2 linked regions of the Sus scrofa genome follow. The protein of the gene in region 2 interacts with the protein of the main gene of each other region in a biochemical or structural test. Links are inferred from orthologs where the notes say so. Each region holds a gene or a part of one and is shown on either strand. Other genes may lie near its edges. The genes, in order: FBLN5 and LOXL1.

Region 1 (9,716 bases), about 54 Mb from region 2:
TGTATTGAAAATGTCAATTAAATCTAACTTTTCTATTGCATCATTTATGATCTTTGTTGCCTTATTGATTTTCTGTCTAGAGAATCTGTCTATTGATGTGAGTGGGCTGTTAAAGTCTCCTACTATTACTGTATTCCTATCAATTTTTCCTCTTAGGTCCATTAGTATTTGTTGTATGTATTTGGGTGCTCCTATATTTAGGGGCATTTATATTGATGAGTGTAATCCTCTTCTTAAATAGATCCTTTCATCATTAAATAGTGTCCTTCTTTGTCTTTCTTCATGGCCTTTGTTTTAAAGTCTATTTTGTCTGATGCGAGTATTGCAACTCCTGATTTCCTGTCTTTTCCATTCATATCAAATATATTTTTATATCAGCCCACTTTCAATTTATGTGTCCTTTGCCCCAAGGTGAGTCTCTTATAGACAGCATATTGTAGGCTCTTGTTTTTTCATCCACTGTGCCAGTCTATGTTTTTTGTTTGAGTATTCAGTCCGTTGACATTTAAGGCAGTTATTGATAAATATGTATTTATTGCCATTTTAACCTTCTTTTCCAGTTGATTTTATGTTTTTCCTTTGTTCCTTTCTTTTTTTGGGTGGATGACTTCCTTGTATTTTATGCTCATGTCTTCTTCTTTTTAGTTTTTCTGAATTTATTGTTTGGTTTTGATTTGTGGGTATCCTATTTTTCAAGTATCTTAACCCCTTCCGTATTATACCTGCTTGCTTTAGCTTGATAGTCATATAGGCTCAAACACACTCTAAAAAAAAGAGTCTAGATTTTCTTTCTACTTTCCTTCCCCACATTTTATGATTTTGATATCTTTTTTAGCATCTTCATATTTATCCTTTTGCTGTTCCTTCTGTTTGTCATTGCTTTTACAGTAGTTTTTTTTTGTTTTGTTTTGTTTTGTTTTTTTCCCTTTTAGATCAGTATACTGGCTTATTTAAGTGATTACTTTTCAATTGTGATTTCCTCCATGCTAGTTCTTCTTTTTTATTTAGGGGAGCCCTTTCGGTATTTTTTTTAGAATGGGTATAGTATTGCTGTACTTTTTTAGTTTTTGTTTTTTGAAGAAATTCTTTATTTCTTCTTCCATTTTAAATGATATCCTTGCTGGGTAGAGTATTCTAGGCTGCAAATTTTTCCCTTTTAGAACTTTGAATATATCTTGCCACCCTCTTCTGGCCTATAGTATTTCTGTAGAGAATTTGGCTGATAGCCTTATGAGGGTTCTCTTATAATTCAGACTTTTTCTCTTGCTGCCTTTAGAATCCTGTCCTTATTTTTAACTTTTGCCATTTTTATTATAATATGTCTTGGTGTGGGCCTGTTTGGGTTCAACTTGTTTGGGGCTCTCTTTGCTTCTGCATATTGATATTTCTATCCTTTAGATTTGGAAAGTTTTCCACCACAATTTCTTCAAATATATTTTCAATCCCCTTTTCTTTTTCTTCTCCTTCTGGAATTCCTCTTATGCATAGATTGGCCCATATTATGTTATCTCATAGATCTCTTATATTGCTTTCATGTTTTTTCATTTGGTTTTCTGCCTGCTGTCCTGATTGTGTGATTTCCATTATTCCATCTTCCAAGTTACTAATTTGTTCTTCTGCATTATTCATTCTGTTCTTTGGTGCCTTTAAGTCAGCTTGCATTTTTGCAAATGAATTTTCTAATTTTTCTTGGCTCCTCTTTATATTTTCTAGTTCCTGTCTAAAGTAATCTGCGTTAATGTTTATATCTGCTCTTAATTCCTTCAGTATTTTAACTATCTCCTTTTTTTTTTTTTTTTTTTTTTTTTTTTGTCTTTTTCCCTTTTCTAGGGCTGCTCCCACAGCATATGGAGATTCCCAGGCTAGGGGTCTAATTGGAGCTGCAGCCACTGGCCTACACCAGAGCCACAGCAACGCGGGATCCGAGCCGTGTCTGCAACCTACACCACAGCTCACGGCAACGCCAGATCCTTAACCCACTGAGTGAGACCAGGGATCGAACCCGCAACTTTATGATTCCTAGTCAGATTCGTTAACCACTGCACCACGACAGGAACTCCTAACTATCTCCTTTTTGAACTCAATGTCTGTCAGACTGCAGAGGTCTGTTTCATTGTTTGCTCCTTCAGGGGAATTTTCCTGCTCTTTTAACTGGAAATGGTGCCAGAGTGTCTTCATTTTGCTTGTATTTTTCTTATTCTGTGGGTTTAGGGAAAACAACTACTATAGTCTTGAAGGTCTATTTATATGTGGAAGTGCCCCTGGATATTTTGTGAGAGCTTTCTATTTATTTTTGGTATGAGGGCTGCTTTTGGTTTGGATGCTTGCTGTCTCTTTCCTCAGTGTGTGCAGGCTGTTATCCCCTTGATAGTGTGCTATGCATGCTTCCTGGGAGATGGAGGCAATGGGCAGGGCTAGTAGCCAGTGCCTGGTTGCTGGGCCCTTGACAATAGCAAGGACCTGCAGGAAGGTGGTGCAGGCTGCTCCTAGTTGCGGAGCTCTGGGAAGTGGCGGTGACCCTCAGGCAGGTGTAGGTGGCGCCTGGAGCTTTTGGTAGTGCCAGTGGCAGAGTGTGTGCATTCCCAGGGGAGTGAGAGCAACAACCAGTGGTGCTTGGTTGCAGTGCCCTCCTCTGTGCCAACCTTGGAGGTGACTGGGTCTGCAGGTAGTGGCTGTTCATGGACCCCTAGTGGTGGTGGGCTATGCCCACCTCTGGGGTCTGAATTGACCATGATGGTTTGCACCCTGCCACCTCTAGACCACGGAAGAGGTGCCCCATCATGCTTAGCCCATGCAGGAGGCATCGCTACCCATAGCCTGTACAAGAGGCACCTTGCTGCCCATAGCCCTGCCCTCCAAGTGTTTGCACCTGCACAGAGAAAGATATTCCTATGGCAGTCCGCCCTTCCTCCTCTCGCCCTCCCCAACAATGGTGCCTTGCTTCTCCTAAAGGCCCATACCTCTTCCCTGGTTTCCTTGGCTGTGGCTCTTTGCTCTCCAACCCTTGATGCAGTGCTCCCTGGCCCTTTAGGCTGTTTCCCCACAACCAACCCTAGTTTTCTTCCTGGAACTGACCTCCAGAGCCTAAGTCTCAGCGCCCAGCCCCCTTCCAAGCATCTCAGGCTGTTGTGTCCTGGGAGGTGGTACTGATGGTCTATGCTGCTCTCTCTCTGCTTTGCCCTCCTCTGTCCAGCTGCTGCACTTTTCCCTGAGGCTCTGAGATCCCTCCTTCTCGACTGATCTCCCTGTCAGTTAGGTGGCCTCTCAGGGTGTGTGTTCCTTTTCTTTTTCACAGCTCCCTCTCAGGAGAGCTAGTCCTGTCCTGATTCTTGCTCCCTCTCTTTTTTTCTACCCAGTTATGTGGAGGGTTTCTTGCCTTTTTTGGAGGTTTAAGGTCTTCTGCCAGCATTCAGTGGATATTCTGTGTGAATCGGTGTACATGTAGATGGGTTTTTTTGTGTGTGTGTTTGTGTGTTTATGTGAGAGGGTGAGCACCTTATCTTACGCCTCCTCCATCTTGGTCCCACCCTCCAGGTTTTATTTTTTAAACTGAGATAATTGACGTACGACACTGTAAGTTTAAGGTGTCCAACGTGTTGCCTGATACCCTTACATATTACAATGTGATCACCACTATGGCTTAGCTAACAGCTCCGTCACATCACATAATTACCATTTCTTTTCTGTAGTAAGAACATTCAGGCTTTACACTCTTAGCAATTTGCAAGTATATGATGCAGGATTGTGAATTATAATCACCACGTGGTACTTTAGCTCCTGAGTACTTACCCATCTTCTAACTTGTAGTTTGTACCCTTTGTGTTTCCCCATTTATTCTACCTGGTGACCACCACTGTCCTCTTTATTTCTATAAGTTTGCCTTTTTTGGATTCTACATATAAGTTACATAACACAGTAGTTGTTTTGATCTGACTTATTTCATTTAGCATAATGCCCTCAAGGTCCATCGGTGTTGTGGCAAATGGCAGGTTTTCTTTCTACTTAAGGCTGAATAATATTCATATTACTATTATTATATCATATATATGTATATGTGTATGCATATCTGTATCTGTATCTGTATCTATCTCTCCCAGATCTTTATCCATTGATGGACACTTGGGTTGTTTCCATATCTTGGCCGTTGGGACTAATGCTTCAGCAACATGCAGTACAGATATCTCTCCTCTTTGGATATATACCCAGAAGTGGAATTGCTGCATCATAGGGTATTTCTAGTTTTAATTTTTTTTTGAGGATCCTCCATCCTGCTTTCCATTGAGGCTGTATTGATTTATATTTGCACAGAATTCAGTTTCTTGCAGTTGTAGAACCAAGGCCACTGTTTCCTTGCTGGCTGTTGGCTGAAGGCCTTTCTCAGGTCCTAGAGCCCACCTTCTCCCTTGGCTCAGGGCCCCTCCTCCGTTGTTAACGCCAGCAAGTTAAGTCCCTCCCATGCTTCCAGTCTCTTCTTGCCCTGTTGTCTTGTCTCTGACCAATCCTTCTGCTCCTTCTTCTACTTCTAAGTATTTATGGGATGCCATTGGGCCCACCCAGATAATTCAGGTAGTCCCCCCATCTCAAGGTCTAATTCTCATCCTGTTCTGAGAACATGTGGGGGCTCTTCTCCCAGCATGCCATCTCATGGGAAAGGCAGACAACACGGAGGAAACTGTACAGGGTGGAGTAAAGTCACTGTCAAGTTGAGATGAAGGCAGTCAGTGCTGCAGAAATAGGGGAGAGGGAAGATCTCTGGTGGCTCAGGTCATTGCCATGTCATGGGTTTGATCCCTGGCCTAGGAATTTCTGCATGCTACAGGGCTGGGGATCGGGGGGAAAGAAGTAGGGGAGAGAATGAGGCCTTATGTCTGGTGTCAGTAAAGAAAGCCTTCGTGGAGGTCACGTTTGAATTAGGTGTTGAAGGATGAATAGGATCCTGAGAAATGGCATTTCAGGTGGTAGGAATGGCGTATTCAAATACCAGGGGTAGAAAAGACATTCAGAGAATAGAATAGTTTGTTGTGGATGGCGCATAGGGTATAGAAAAAGAAAAAGGCCCTTACTTTGGGGATATATTTAGCTTTTAAATTATTATTATTATTATTTTGTCTTTTTAAGGCCGTACCTGTGGCATATGTAAGTTCCCAGGCTAGGGGTCACATTGGAGCTGTGGTTGCCAGCCTATGTCACAGCCACAGCCATGCGGGATCCGAGCCACGTCTGCGACTTACACCACAGCTCATGGCAGTGCTGGATCCTTAACCCACTGAGCAAGGCCAGGGATTGAACCCACATCCTCATGGATACCAGTCAGGTTCGTTACCATGGAGCTACAACGGGAACTCCTAAATGATGTTTAATTTAGGCTGAATCATTTGTAATCTCGGAGTTTAGGGCTGAAAAGAATGACACGTGGTGAGGAAGCTCGTGGCTTGCATGTTGACTTCGAGTCAAGGGGGTTGAGGATGTGCCAAGGGAAGCAGAGGGGGGTGGCAGCCATCTTTTCTGGCCAGTTTTAATGATGACTGCAGGCTCGTGGCTGGAGACCGGGGCTCCACGTTTCTCTTTCCTGGGGTGGGAGTTGGCAAGAGTGTCTCTGATGAGATGAGTGGGGTGAGCGGTCAGGACTCAGGCCTCTCTTGCCAAGCCTCTGATCCCCTGTGGAGCAGAACCCTAGACTGGTGAGGGGCTCCAGCAGGTGGGATCAGGTCAGCTGCTCATGCTGGCACCCCAGTTCAGGCCTCAAAAAGCTGGTTTTCGAGAAAACCCTGCCCCTTTACGGCCCCGACTCTAGGCAGGACAAGCAGAGCACTAGCCTGGCTGGAAATGGGTCTTGTTTGTCAGCACAGCGTGAGCTGACTCTCAAGTGAGTCTCCACTTTCCTACCATATAACTAGGCCTTGGCCAAGCTTTATCTTTCTGGATACAAGGGATGCTTTCTCCCTGCCCAGCTGTTATTTGGAGTAGAAGTGTGTGCAATTATTATGCCTGCCCCGGTGTTTCCCAGTATCATATGGGCACCCCAGATAAACACTCTTGATTTTAATGGTTATATATTTATTTTTATTCTTACCTTCTATTTTTGATAATTGATAGTGTTTTTTTATTTGCTGTAAGATTGAAGAAAAAAAAATGCTTCCTTGGGTTTTCAATGCGGGTTCATTTAGAGAAAAGGATGAAGCGTGTGACAGTGTAGGTTTTTGTAGCTGTGGGCCAAACATCACGACATTGGTGTTGGGTGGCCCGTGTTGGGGGTGACACCTGTCAGTTTGATTCAATTCAGCCAGTGTTTGCAGAGTGCCTGCCAACGATGAGCCGGGAACGACCCTACGTGTTTGGGAACAGATGCTGGTAGAGAGTGTTTTAGGGTCCTTCGTGGTGCTCCTGGGACAGAGCTCTGCTTACACACGCACAGCATGGCCGGAGGGCCACTCACGCTTGTCCTTTCTGTGGTCCTTTCAGATATCGATGAGTGCCGGACTATCCCCGAGGCCTGCCGAGGAGACATGATGTGTGTTAACCAAAACGGCGGGTATTTGTGCATCCCCCGAACGAACCCAGTGTACCGAGGGCCCTACTCCAACCCCTACTCCAACCCCTACTCAGGGCCGTACCCAGCAGCTGCACCCCCGCTGTCAGCTCCAAACTACCCCACGATTTCGAGGCCTCTCATATGTCGCTTTGGATACCAGATGGATGAAAGCAACCAGTGTGTGGGTGAGTAGCCCAGCGTCCTAGGCTTTCTTGCCCCTCTGCTTGAGGATGGCAGTGCCCTCATCCAGCAGGTCCACCAGATGGGATGTCAGCTGCTATGCAGGGCACTGGTAAAACAGCATACATCCTATGCGGTTCTTTCACTCTCAGTGGCCTGTGTCTCTGGGTGCCCTCCCAGCTAAGGAGGAGTTTAGTTTCACTGGCTCTTCTCCAGAAAGCCAATTTGCTTTTTCGCTCTTCCTTCCTTTCTCTCTTTCTCTCCATCCTTCTATCTATCGATCTATCAATCTATCTATCTATCTATCTATCTATCTATCTATCTATCCATCATCTCTCTTTTCATGGCATCTATTTTCTATCTATTTAAAGACCAAGCTCATATTTTCCCTCTTCAATAACAAGTATATCTGGTCAAACTTAGTAAGTGATTCCCGGAGAGAAGAGTCTTCAACTCCACTCACCCTTGAGTGGAGCACCGGCTCCTTAGGTAAAGAAGCCTTGAAGGCTAAGACCAACTATTCTGGAAAGAAGGTGGGTTCCTTGGGTGGGGACCAGTGTTCTTTTGCCCAAAAGGAGCCTTGCTGCTGAGAGCTCATGGCAAGAGTAGACCTTGGGGAAGAAGGGACACCATGTGCCGTGAGGTCCCCAGGCTAATTGGCAAGTGGTGTGTTGGGTGCCTTGTTGGCCCGTGTGGCCTTGGCGGAGACTTGGGATCTTCCTTGCTCACTTTGGCTCAGGTTGGACCAAAACCTTGCCACTGGTCTAGAGTGGTGAGGGCCCCAAAGTTTTGTGGTGATGCACCCCATCCGCAAAACCTTTTTGACCCAGGATCTTTACTATATGCATATTTATAAATTACACACATGTCCTGTGTTTCTAATATGGCTTGAAAAGTATAAAGCCTACGTAAGAGATAGAAAGTTTAAAATTTAAATTTCGATGTGAGCAAAATAAATGTGAATTGAAATTCTAATATCGCCTTTCTATACCCTGAAAGTTTGGGAGGCCATCACTCGGCTTAGGGAGATTTTTGTTGGTCCCATTTCAGGGCTCAGTAGATTGAGCCATTATCTACTGTTAGAGAGGCTGTGTTGGTTATTTTGTATTGTCTTCTGTCTGTTCATGCAAATGCGTGTGCATTTCCATTTGACTCCATGGCAATAATATGCAAACCAGTGTCTTTCAGAGCTAAGAGGGAAAACTGGATACACCTTAACCAAAATTTTCTGTTCTCACTAGTCTCAAGGGGAGGGATGTCTGTGTATGGGGGGGGGGCAGGGGAGAACTGGTTGGTGGTCATTTTGAATATAAATGAGTGTACCAGGGGAAGAAGTGTGGCACCCAGTCGAGCTGAGCCCTGGACTGAAGCGCTGGTGGGCAAGATAGTAACACACTTCCTTGTAACCAGCAGGGCAATGGAACTCTGTACCTGGAAGGGACTTGAACACTCTTTAATGGCAGCCTTTTCATTTGATGAAAAAGAGAACCTGGACTCTACCAGGTTAGGCAGTTGCCAAGGTTGGATGGGAGTCCAGCTCTCCTACTCCCTGGCCAAGTTTTCTTAACTCACCCACCTGACCTCTCTCGTTTGGCAGAAAAGAAATGATCCCAGAGGAAATGCAGAGAAAGGGGGGTTGGAGGTGGAGGTGCTGCTCTTATAGGATGTGGGGCTGGATAAGCCGGGTGGCCCTGTGCAGGTGTTGAGGGGAGGAAGGGGGTGTAATGACCCGTCGAAGCGCTCCAGGATCCGGGAGGGGGCCTCAGGTGGCCGCAGCCACGGGGCAGGCCGCTCCCCGGATGTCCTGGGCCATCCCACAGGCCCCTTTTGTGGAACAGCTGGGACAGGCTGTGGGGCTCTCTGAAGGGCCCCCTGTCCTCCCACACCCCGCTTTCCAGGATCCCAGTGCCCTTGAGAATAAGGCTGCATCTGGGAAACCTCTTCATCTCCTGGTCCATGTGACATCATGCAGTTTTATGGCCCCCAACCTGTCCCACAGGAGATGTGGAGCCTCCATCATGGCCCTTTTGTAAGAAGAATACAGTCTGGGAACCCCAGTGAGGACTGGCACCGGGCCCGTCCACTTCCAAAGAGCTCAGCATCGGGCATTCAGAAGGCCCGGGTTCTTCCTGCTCACCGCCCCCCCTCCACCCTGCCTGCCGTTTCCTGGTTTACACGGGGCCTTCTGGGCATTGTGAGAGGGGCGGCGCTGGAAAGGGGTGGGGACAGGACAAAGGGCAGCAAAGTTCGGAGGCAGCAGAAGAGGGGGAAGGAACCCAAGGAGCTGAGAGGGGGACACTGTTGGGAAGAGAGGTGAGCAGGTTGTCACTGCGCCAGAAGAGAGCACATCTCTGTTTCCCAGAACCTGGGTCTGATCCTGCAGGAAGCTGCCCTGAGCAATTGTGTGATCAGGTAGAACTGGAAGGCGCTTCTGAAACAGGGGTGTTCTGGGAGAGGAGGACCGCAGCTCCAAGGGGGCCCTCTCCTCCTCTTCCTCCACCTAGAAAATAGTCAACGACAGCAACGACAGCAGCCGTAGTAATAATAGCACTCACTCACGTAGTGCTGCATGCCAGGATCTTTACATGAATGAACATACGGAACCCTCACCACAACCCTAGGCGGGAGGACTATTCTTCTTCCTGTTCGCCTCGTTGCCCCCTGAAGCACAGACAGGTTAAGAATCTGTCCAAGGTCACACAGCAATTGGGGGCTGAGCCCAGATTTGAACCCACTGAAGCTCGGGATGAGGAGACGGAGGCTCAGGGAGGTAAAGGTGTCCTCCATCCTCCCAGCAGCCAGTCCTGGAGCAATGATGAGAAACTAGGGCGTTCTCGGGACATAAATTTTTGTTCAAATAAAACTTTGGACCTAGACCAAAGCAGAGCGTGCATAAAGAACACTTACCTACTTATCACCCAGCTTCATAAATTGTCAATACAGACCCATTCCTGTTTCTTCTTTATTCTGACCCAGTGGATCAACTGAAAGCAAATCTCAGGCA
Region 2 (10,213 bases):
ACTGCACCAGATGTGGCTGCAGGGGAGGGTGTGGGCGCAGGGCCCAGCTGGCAGTGGTCACTCGGTGGTCCTCTCCCTGCAGAGTCAGCGTGTTCTGTGCCAGCTTGCCCGGGCCTCCGCGCTTAGCACTTCCTCCGGCCCACTTTCCAGAGGCAGCGGCTGGGGCCTCACAATCCAGCGCTGCCTGGCCGGGGCTTCCATCCCCAGTTCCATACAAATCTCATCAATGGCCTTTCCTGATGCCCTTTCCAAGAGGCCTGGGCTCGGCAGCCAGGGATCATGGTGGGCGGGGGAGACCCAGCCCTGCTCCATGTGGGGCACAGAGGGCAGGGGTGCCCAGAGCCAGCCTCATCGTTTCCTCCCAACCAGAGAAACATCCTGACCCACGGCGGGCCTCCTGATCCTTTCCTGGGCGAAGCAGTAAGGATCCTGCCGCTTCTGCCCTTTCCCTGCTCCCTAAACCTTCTGTGGGTTGGGTCTGAGGCCTCCTCACTCCCCAATGGATTTTCCAGAGCCTGGAGTTCTCTCTTAGGATCAAAGGACAAGGGCTGTCCCATGGGAAGCCTAGTGGCAGAACAACCTGGTCCAGAGCTGAGCACATAATAGGGTCTCTAATAAAGTCACACATTACCAACAAGCTTTTGCACCTCCATACCCTCAGCCCTCCAAGAGCCCTTACGCCTGGTTCCTAGTGCCAGGGACTGGCAACAAGCCTCAGCCACATGGCTAGATCTTAAACCTGAGGGTATGAACCCGGCCTGCAGGGACAGGGCCTAGAGAAGAGCTGCCTGCCACTCCACTCACCTCCAGACAGCTCGGCCCCAGTCTAGCCTGGCGCCTCGAAGCCCTCATTTGACCTCAGCCCTGCACCCTTTGCAGACTGCCCAGGTCTTCTTCAGATCCCCACTCTGCAGGGTCTAATCAAAGGAAGCCAGGATGCTGCCAGCTACTCAGGCAAGGCCTTGCCCTGCGTGTGGAGAGGTGGAACCAGGCAGGCTCCCCTGGGCTCAGCGATCTGAGGGGGTCTTGTCAGTAACTTTGTGAGACCCGGACAGGGAGGGAGAAGGAAGGTGAGGGGCGGGAAGTGCGGAGGAGGGAAGAGGACAGGCCCCAGGGGGTTGTCCCCAGCTGGGCACAGGGAAGGATGCTGAAGGCAGATAAAAATAGGAAAGGGACAGAGAAAATGGGAGAGGGTGGACACCCTTGGGGATAAAGCCCTTGTTCCCTCACTGGTCTAAGAGGAAAGAAAAATAGTGGCCATATGCCTGGCACTGCGCTGGCTACTTTTCATAATCCTCTTGTTTCATCCTCCCAAATATACCACGAGAAAGGTATTATTACTCCCAAGTTACAGATGAAGACTCTGAGGCTCTGAGAGCTTAAAAGGCTTCCCTGGGGAGGGGCTGGGGGTCAGGCCAGGACCTTGGCTCAGTCACCCTGGGACCCCAGGTCTCCAGTCTCAGCAGAGACGGCTGGCAGGGCCAAAGCCCTGGCCCCGGGAGCCTGTGCAGAGGCCCAAGCTATGTTCAGAGCAGAGTTTATTCAAACAGAGCCTAACAGGAAACTTGGCTCCTCTGACTCACTCTGATTCGACCTTATTAAGAAAAAAGAAAGAGGAGCAGGAGCCAGCATTGGGTAGGGTTTCACGCCAAGAGCTGGCTCCCAGGCAGAGGCTGGCTGAGCACAATGGCCTGTGCCCTGATCCCCACAGCTCCAGAGCCCTGAGGCAGCCCCTGCCCCCTGCCTGGCTGGAGAAGAGGGGTCCTGCCTTCTCCACTCTGCCAGCAGGGCTCCCCTACCTCTCAGCCATCCTCTGTTCTCCCTCTGTTCCTCCTTCTCCCTCCCCCTCCCCACCTGGGGGTACCCTGAGGCCTGTTTCCATAGCTCTCCCTCCTCCTCTCCTGGCGCTGCTGCCCATCTGGCTGGCTGGCGGGAGGGCCCTACAGGACCCCAGGGATTCCAAGAGGCTGAGGCCACCGCTGCAGGGGGCAGGTGGGAGGGAGGGAAGGCTTAACCCTCCCAGTCCCAGGCCTCAGTGAGCCCAGCTGGGCATCTGGCTTCCTGTCCCGAGCCAAACCAGTTGCTCCTTGCAGGAGTCCTGTCTGGTATCTAAGATCAAACCCCACACCAGGGAGCCAAGGGCCATGCTGTGAATGGCTGCTGGCTGGACTGTGAGGGTGGACAGGTGCCCTGAGTCACCTGAACCAAACTTCATCCTGAGGCACAGTGTGATGGAACAAATGCTGACGGGTATGGATGGGGGGGTGGTCCAGGGTCTTTGAGGAAGGTCCACTTTTGCTGTCTCCTCCAAAGGTGGGCGCCAGGAGTTTTCAAAGTAGGGGAACCTGGAGAGACCAAGGGCAGGTTCTTGTCCTTGGTGTGGAAGCACAAGAGGGGAATGTCTGCCCTCCGGTTCCCATGACCAGGGTTGGAGAAAGCAGCCCAGGGGAGGCATCAGAGTGATTTCTTGGAGGCCAAAGCATCCAAACTTCTGAAGCCCCTCTGATTTTTGCCAAGAGGCTAGAGAACCTGCCAAAGCATTCTTGAGGAAACAGCCGGTCTAATCCTCCACTGATCAGATGTGGTGACTGGATCAGAATGGGGAAGGCGCTTGCCCCAGATCACCCAGCAGCTTAATCACAGCTGCTGGACTAGCTCATTCCTCGAGTTCCCCCCTTCTGCTGTTCTGTGCTTACGGCACATGGTGCCTCCCCATGACTCCTGTCCGGTATCAAAGACAGGCCCCAGGTTTCATTTTATCCCTGTGTATACTCCAGTGATTTCTAGGCTATGTCGACTCCAGAGATGCAGGACAGAAACCACACACGATAGGCAGCAAGTTGATCTCTCCTATGATTTCGCAAGTTCCTTTCAGCACAGGGACACACCCCCATTCTACAAACTGGGAGAGCAAAGCCCCAGGGGTGTGCCAAGAGGGAAAAGGCTGAAGTTCCATCTTCTTTGTACTCAGGCCCAATGAACTAAGGTGCACCTGAGGTCAAAGAATCAAAGGATGGTTCAGCTGCGGGTTCAGCAACTCCCCCAAGAAAGCCCACTGACAAGGAGGGTGTCTCAGCACTTGCTTTGGAGAATGGGAGCCCTGGGGAGAGACTGGAGTGGACAGGAGTCAAGGGCTCATTCAAACCCAAACCAGAAGCTAGTAAGGTGAGACCAAGGATGCTGGGTCTAAAGCAGAGAGAAATGGCCTGAGCGGTGCTGCCACTTCAGCCCCATTTTGCCTGCCAGGGCCCCAGTCACCAGGCTTGAGTCCCCAGGGGCCCCTTCCTACTCCCCACTTCATTCCCTTCCTCAAAGGCAGGTCTGCGGCTTGGCTGGGAGCTCCAGGGACTGAGGGAGCACAGCAGCTGTGGGACAGGCCACATAGCTAAAACCCGGCGGGCCATAGGGCCCCGCGGAGGAGGCCCCAGCAGGCAGACCAGGCTGCCCAAAACCTCCTGACGCTCCCAGCCTGTTGCTTATTCATTCAGAGTGGGAAAGCGCCAGCCAAGCGGCCAGCCAGTGCCGGGCTGGCCATGTAAGGCCCCCAGGCAGTCCTGCCTGCCCAGTGCCCTGCAGAGAGCCTCCTGCAGCCCTGGGCACCGCCCCTGCCCTGCCCTGACCCCTTGGCCTCGAAATGCTGTCATCGGAGGAGCGGTCCCGCTCGGGACAAGGCCAGGATGGACAAAGCTAGAGCTGGGGCAGGCAAGGAGCCGTCCTGTCCTCGAGGCCGTGGGAAGAAAAGCAGGCACAGGGGGCCACTCCCGAGAGCCTCTCGGTCCATCAGGCCTCTGCAGAGGGGCCACCATGGCTCTGGCCCCAGCCGGCTGGCAGCTGGGGGCCCTAGTGTGGGGCGCCTGCCTCTGCGTGCTGGTGCATGGGCAGCAGGCGCAGCCGGGGCAGGGCTCAGATCCGGGACGCTGGCGGCAGCTGATCCAGTGGGAGAACAACGGGCAGGTGTACAGCCTGCTCAACTCGGGCTCCGAGTACGTGCCGGCGGGGCCTCAGCGCTCCGAAGGTAACTCCCGAGTGCTGCTGGCCGGAGCCCCCCAGGCCCCGCAGCGGCGCAGCCAGGGGGGCCTCCGGCGTCGGCAGGCCCCATCCCTGCCCCTGCCCGGGCGCGTCGGCTCGGACACCGTGCGCGGCCAAGCGCGGCACCCCTTTGGCTTCGGCCAGGTGCCCGACAACTGGCGCGAAGTGGCCGTCGGGGACAGCACAGGCATGGCCCGGGTCCGCACCTCCGTCTCCCAGCAACGGCATGGGGGCTCCGCCTCCTCGGTCTCGGCCTCGGCCTTCGCCACCACCTACCGCCAGCCGCCCTCCTTCCCGCAGCAGTTCCCCTACCCGCAGGCGCCCTTCGTCAGCCAGTACGAGACGTACGACCCCGCGTCGCGGACCTACGACCAGGGCTACGTGTACTACCGCGGCCCGGGAGGCGGCCTGGGAGCAGGGGCGGCGGCCGTGGCCTCGGCGGGGGTCGTCTACCCCTTCCAGCCCCAGCCCCGGGCGCGCTACGAGGAGTACGGCGGCGGCGGCGAGGAGCAGCCCGAGTACCCGCCGCAGGGCTTCTACCCGGCCCTGGAGAGGCCGCCCGCGCCGCAGCCGCCACCGCAGCCCGCCGACGGCCTGGACCGCCGCTACTCGCACAGCCTGTACCACGAGGGCACCGCGGGCCTCGAGCAGGCCTACCCCGACTCGGGCCCCGACGCCGCGCAGCCCAACGGCGGCACCTACGGCGGCGACCCCCGCTTCGGCTGGTACCCGCCCTACGGCAACATGCCGCCAGAGGCCTACAGCCCGCCGCGGGCCGTGGAGCCGCAGCCCCCTTTCCGCGTGCTGGAGCCTCCCTACCTGCCCGTGCGCAGCTCCGACGCGCCCCCACCGGGTTCCGAGCGCAGCGGCGCGCAGCAGGGCCGCCTCAGTGTGGGCAGCGTGTACCGGCCCAACCAGAACGGTCGAGGTGAGTAGAGCCTTGCGCCCAGACCCAGATCCTTTCCTTTCCGGGGAGCATCCCCCAGCTCCTAAGGAAGGACCCGCACCCTCGCCCGCGACGGCAAACCCAATGCTTCCCTCCTTGGCCTTACCATCGTCATTGGCACCAGGATTTGCGCAGGCCCTGACCCTGGCTTGGGAAGGTAGAAGGTGGTGGGTCTGGACAAGGCTTTGGAAGGAGGCGCCTTCCAGAACTGGCTTGGGTCACTTGAGGACAACGTAAAGGAACCCTTCTCCCCGCTTCTCCTTCTCTCCCATCAGGGCATGTTGTCTACACTTGGAGGGGCCCCTCTGCCAGCCTCTCAAGGTGAAGAAGGGAGCATACGGGTCAGAAAGGCCTTGGGAGATGCCTCTGGGGGTGTGGCAACTTCCCAGTCACTGGGCATATGTGAGCTTGGCCTGAATGAGCAGGAGGTTAAGGAAGGTTCTGGCCCAAGACAGGAGAGCAGACTAGATGACCCAGAGCTCTTGGGGTGGGGGAGCTCCTCAGGGGGGACAATGCAAGTCTGGACTAGAGAGGCAAGTGAGGCTCTGGCCTGGGTGCCAAAAAACTCAGTAATTAAGATAAGGAATAGTTTAATACATTTTTAGATTTTAAAAAATGCCAAAAAAAAGATGAACAAAATATCCTGATTTTAAATAGAACCAGTAAGGGTGCCATGCCAAACTGTATTCGAGCCTGAGGCAGACTGAAAAATCAGCAATACTGATGTCTTTATTTGAAATTTTGATGTTTTGTTCATCACAGATATTTTTATGCATCAGTGTTGAATTGTAAAAATACTGGCTCAGAGTTCCCTTGTGGCTCCAGTAGGTTAAGGATCCTGCATTGTCACTGCTGTGACTCCAGTCGCTTCTGTGGCGTGTGTTCAATCCCTGGCCAGGAACTTCTGCATGCTATGGGTGTGGCCAAAAAAAAAGGAGTGGGATATTGTCTCAAATATTATTACTTTTCTTAGTTACTGAGTTTTTAGGCGCCATCTTAAATTTTGCACCCCAGGCCAGGGCCTCAGTCACCCTTGTCCTGGCCCTGTTGGAGAGTCCCAGGAGGCAGCTGTGGACATGGGTACAGGGGGTGTTGAAGATATGACCTAATCATGGGAAAGCCCAAGCCATCTGCACATGAGGACACAGCAGAAGGGGCAGCTTCCTTCTTCAGATGAGCAACTCCACACGTGTGGTTAGCAGGCAGGCCACTTTGGCAAGGGCCCACTAGTGGTCTGGCCAGGGCTGGACAGCTATTGGCCTAACCTCCAATGTCCTAGAATTCCCCTTCCTGCTTCTGTCTCTGTAAGTCCCAAGTAAGCTTTGGTCAGGGTTTTCTATTTAGTCCCTGGTGCATATGCGTTCTAGCCCAGCCTTGCCTCTTGTAGGCTTCATTTAATGCCCTGGTTCTCCACGCCTGATTCTCTGTTCCACATGCAGGCAGCTGTGCAAGGCCCACCAGGTGAGGGCTGAGCACTGCAGGGCCCAGGGACCCAGGTACTGCACCCCCAGCCTTTGTCCTGTGCCTCTGTCAGCACGGGCACACTGCTTTGTTTCCGGCCGTACTGATTTGGGGTGAGAGGCTGTTGCTGAGGTAGAGGAGTGGCAACCCCTGCCTCTCCAGGGCCTGCTGGAGCTCCCGGCCAGGGGAGAGGAGTGTCCCCATGTAGTACGCCCTCCCCCACATCCAAGACATAGATCGCACTCCAGTGGAGGCTGAGTCCCACATTGAGAACCCGCAGGAGCTCAGGTCGGGAGGTAGACAGAGGGCCCTTCTGTGATGTGATAAAGGCCGCCTCACCCTCATCTGAGCCTCACCAGGACTTGCTGCATCCCTGCAGCTGGGTGTGTGTCTGCTGTGCCTCAGCTACTCCTAGAACTCCTTGGAGGAGAGCAGTTTTACCTATAGGCTAAACTTCTGTGGCGGCTTTTCTTAGAATGCAAGACCACAGGGTGGCTCGGCCAGAAGAGCTCCGCCTCTGGGCAGAAGAGAAAAACCGAGGCCTCAAATAGCACTGCTGGCTGAGCCAGGCCTGGGACTTGACAGCTGTGCCCTAAGCCAGTGGGCATTCTAAGATTCCTCTTTGGCCTCTCAGTTCTTGAGGTTCAGAGGGGACTAGCCCGGGCAAGGCCGCGTCTGGAGTGGGGGGGTCCTTGGTGCTTAGCAGGACCTCTGGCCATTGCACCTGAGCCCCAGGGTTTGTTTTGGATTGAAGACATTTCTCCCCTGAAGATAATATACTAGATGCCACATATGAATCCAGACCCTGTCCTGAGGAGGCATAGAAAAGGGAGCACCTCAGTGCCACAACTGGGCAGGCACTGGGGGGGTAGGTTAAGGGAACCCATGGGTCGGTCCTCCCCATCAGGGCTCAGAGCTCAGGGAGGACTTCCCAGAGGAGGAGATGCCCAAGCTGACAGGAATGCTGTCAGCACTCTGCAGGTGTCCCTTCTCTGGTCATGGGGGATGGGGGGGTGCAGGCTAGATCAGGGTCCACGGAGAGGCCAGAGAGGGAGCAGTACCTTCTCACCCATCATTTGTTCCCCTTTCCACCCTGCTAAGCTGGGCCCGTGGAAAATCCCGGTTCGGGGAAGGCCAAGCCTTGTGCTTGAGATCAGACCCCCAGGCCTGGTGTGGGCGTCCAGAGCGGATTCTCCGAAACTGACTTCATTCCTCCTGGCCGCACACCCAGGGGTCTGAGGCTGGGCGCTGGCAGCCCGTGCGCATGTGTGTGGGCGTGGACGTGTCCTCACAACACCAAACACATGTGCGCACCACCCACGTCCTCCACGTTTGGGCCCTTTCCAAGCGCCTGTCCAGAGCCTGGTTTCTTCCTTGGGCGCCTGCACCCTCTTCCCTCTCACCCTGTGGGGAGGAACACTGCCCAAAGCCTCCGGCACTATTGTGGTCTCAGACACGTGACTGGAGGGAAGGAGAGGCAACAGAGGCCCAGGTCACATACCTGGCCTGCTGGTCACAGCACATCCATGCAGAGGCCCAGAGGGCGGCTGCCTGTTTCCCAGCCTGGCTGCATCCCCTGCGCTGGGCGTCTCCTCTGCCACGGCCAGGCCCTGCTTCTGCCTCTCCACAGCCTAGCACCTCTGAGCTAGTGGCATTCGTGTGGACTAAGATGACTCCTGGCCCTAGGAGACCATGGCTTTTCTCCCAGGGCCTCCCCCTCACACCCTCGGCCTGATTCACTGGCTCCAGTAACCCTGTGAAAGTAACATGGAGCAGGCCGCCTGGCTGTCCTCCCAGGGCATCTCCAATGGCTGTGCCAGCTTGGCCTGGCGTGGGTCCTCCATCCCTGTCTTCACACAGCCAATCGGAGCCGTGGCTGCCTCCTCCCTGGTCACTTTCAGTCCATCCTAAGCATGGGGCAGATACACCCTTGCACTGCTGACCATGGTACTCTCCCGGTCAAGAAGATTCTCTGGCTCCCAAGGTCTTTAGGACAAAATCTCAATGCTCTAGCCTGTTGCTCCAGAACCTGAGGCACCTCCTTTCTCTCCCCTCCTCCTTCTCTCTCTCTCCGGCCTCCACAGCATCCTGTATTGCCCCTAGCCCAGGTGTTTTAAGCCCTGCATTCACATAGGGGTGTGTCTAGGGCACAGCCCTCTCTATCCAGCCTCCTGCCTCCAAGAGGCCAGACAGGGCCCTTTAGTCCCTGAGAGCAGCCCTGGCTCCCTGCTGCACCCCCACAGCCTGCCCCTCCCCCTCGCAGGCTGCCTCCCCTCTGTGGGCCACCCACCCACCTCCACAAGGCTCAGAGTAGATACGGAGAAGGACAGGGCAGGCCTCCACCCAACAAGCACCCGGAGTTGGAGCCCCCAGGCGGGATGGTGATAACAACTTCAGCCCTCTGCAGAGGAGCACCTGCTGAGCGTGGTGGCGTGAATGTGCAATTTCCTTCACCCCTGCCTCTCCTAGAGAGGTGGGGATTATGGTCCACTGGTACAGATGGGGAAACTGAGACCTAGCGAGAGCTCCCAGCTCAAAGTGTCCATGCCTGAATTCAGTCTGTGCCTGTCATCTCTGCATCGTCCTGAGAGGACCCAGGAGGACGCTCGTGCCCCCCCCCTCCCCCGCGCGAACCAGGCGAGGCAGGACGTGGGCGCCAGTTCCCACAGCCACCTCCAGGGGGATGGTTCTGCCGGCGTATACGGTGCACTTTATACATCATCTCTCTTGATGCCCACAGCAACCCCACCAGCCAAATGCTGTCATCATCCCATCTCATAGCTAAGACGACAGGCTCACTTGCTGATTGTCACACAACCTCTGAGTAGTGAAACCAGGATCGGAGTCCGCCTGACTCCCTATCCTGGGTTCTTAACCACTATACTTTTTTTTTTTTTTCTTAAATTTTCATGTATTCAGGCTTACCTTGCACATCCATTTGGTCATTCAGTAGATACTCGACTTCTCCCACATTCTGGGCATGGGTTGCAACAGAGTGAGGGCTGGACAGTGAGTGTGCACAGCTTTGGAAGCAAAGAGCACCTCCTCCGTGTGGCGTTGGCTTGCAGCCTTGTCATCCCCACTCCAGACTCCAGCATGTTTGTTTAACAAACACATCTACGTCTCTAGCGCGTATCAGCGCCTAACACTGTTCTTGGAGCTTCACAATCACAGTCGCTCAACCCTCATAGCAACCCTGGGTATTATGACTCCCCTCCTTTTGCAGAGGAGGAACCTGAGGCCCTCAGAGGTTAAGTGACCTGCCCAAGGCTACCTACTGGTGACTGGTGGAGGCAGAATCACAGCTCAGGATCCCTCCTTACTTCCAGAAGTGGTCTCAAGTTGCTCCTTCAGAAAGAAATGGAGTCTTCAGGCGAGGAACCTGGGGGAAAGAGCCAGACAGTTGTGGAGACAGAGGGCCCTGGGTCCTCTTCCTACTCCCCTGTTTGCCAACCAGAGGGCCCTGGTGTGGGAACAAACGCTGGCATCATGACCGGGGCAGCCTCATGGCAGGCAGACTCCCTGTCTCCTCTCAGATCATCCAGTGGCTAGGCCACGTCCTCTCTCCTTGGCTCTCAAACAACCATCCCCGCAAGAAGAGACGGCCCCCATGTTAAATACTCATAATAGCAGCTGATATTGTTGAACCCTTCACAGGCACCAGACACTATGCTGAGCATTTTTTGTTCATGTCCTCTTTGAGTCCCCCAGCAAGCTTGTGAGGTAGATGGTGTTAACGTCCATGTTTCACAGAGGAGGCAACCCAGGCTAGAGAAG

Evidence for each region.
Region 1: the proteins of LOXL1 (region 2) and FBLN5 form a complex in vitro, tested with the Homo sapiens proteins (2 studies listed by BioGRID and IntAct). The link is inferred for Sus scrofa from reciprocal best matches to the Homo sapiens genes LOXL1 and FBLN5.

What each region holds. Positions count from the first base shown.
Region 1 is NC_010449.5:113,489,748-113,499,463, reverse strand, and holds part of FBLN5 (fibulin-5), read left to right. Parts: intron 1-6,462; coding exon 6,463-6,717; intron 6,718-9,716. UniProt on the Homo sapiens protein: Essential for elastic fiber formation, is involved in the assembly of continuous elastin (ELN) polymer and promotes the interaction of microfibrils and ELN. Stabilizes and organizes elastic fibers in the skin, lung and vasculature.
Region 2 is NC_010449.5:59,498,411-59,508,623, reverse strand, and holds the start of LOXL1 (lysyl oxidase homolog 1), read left to right. Parts: upstream 1-3,462; 5' UTR 3,463-3,804; coding exon 3,805-4,957; intron 4,958-9,361; exon of another isoform or gene 9,362-10,213. UniProt on the Homo sapiens protein: Catalyzes the oxidative deamination of lysine and hydroxylysine residues in collagen and elastin, resulting in the formation of covalent cross-linkages, and the stabilization of collagen and elastin fibers.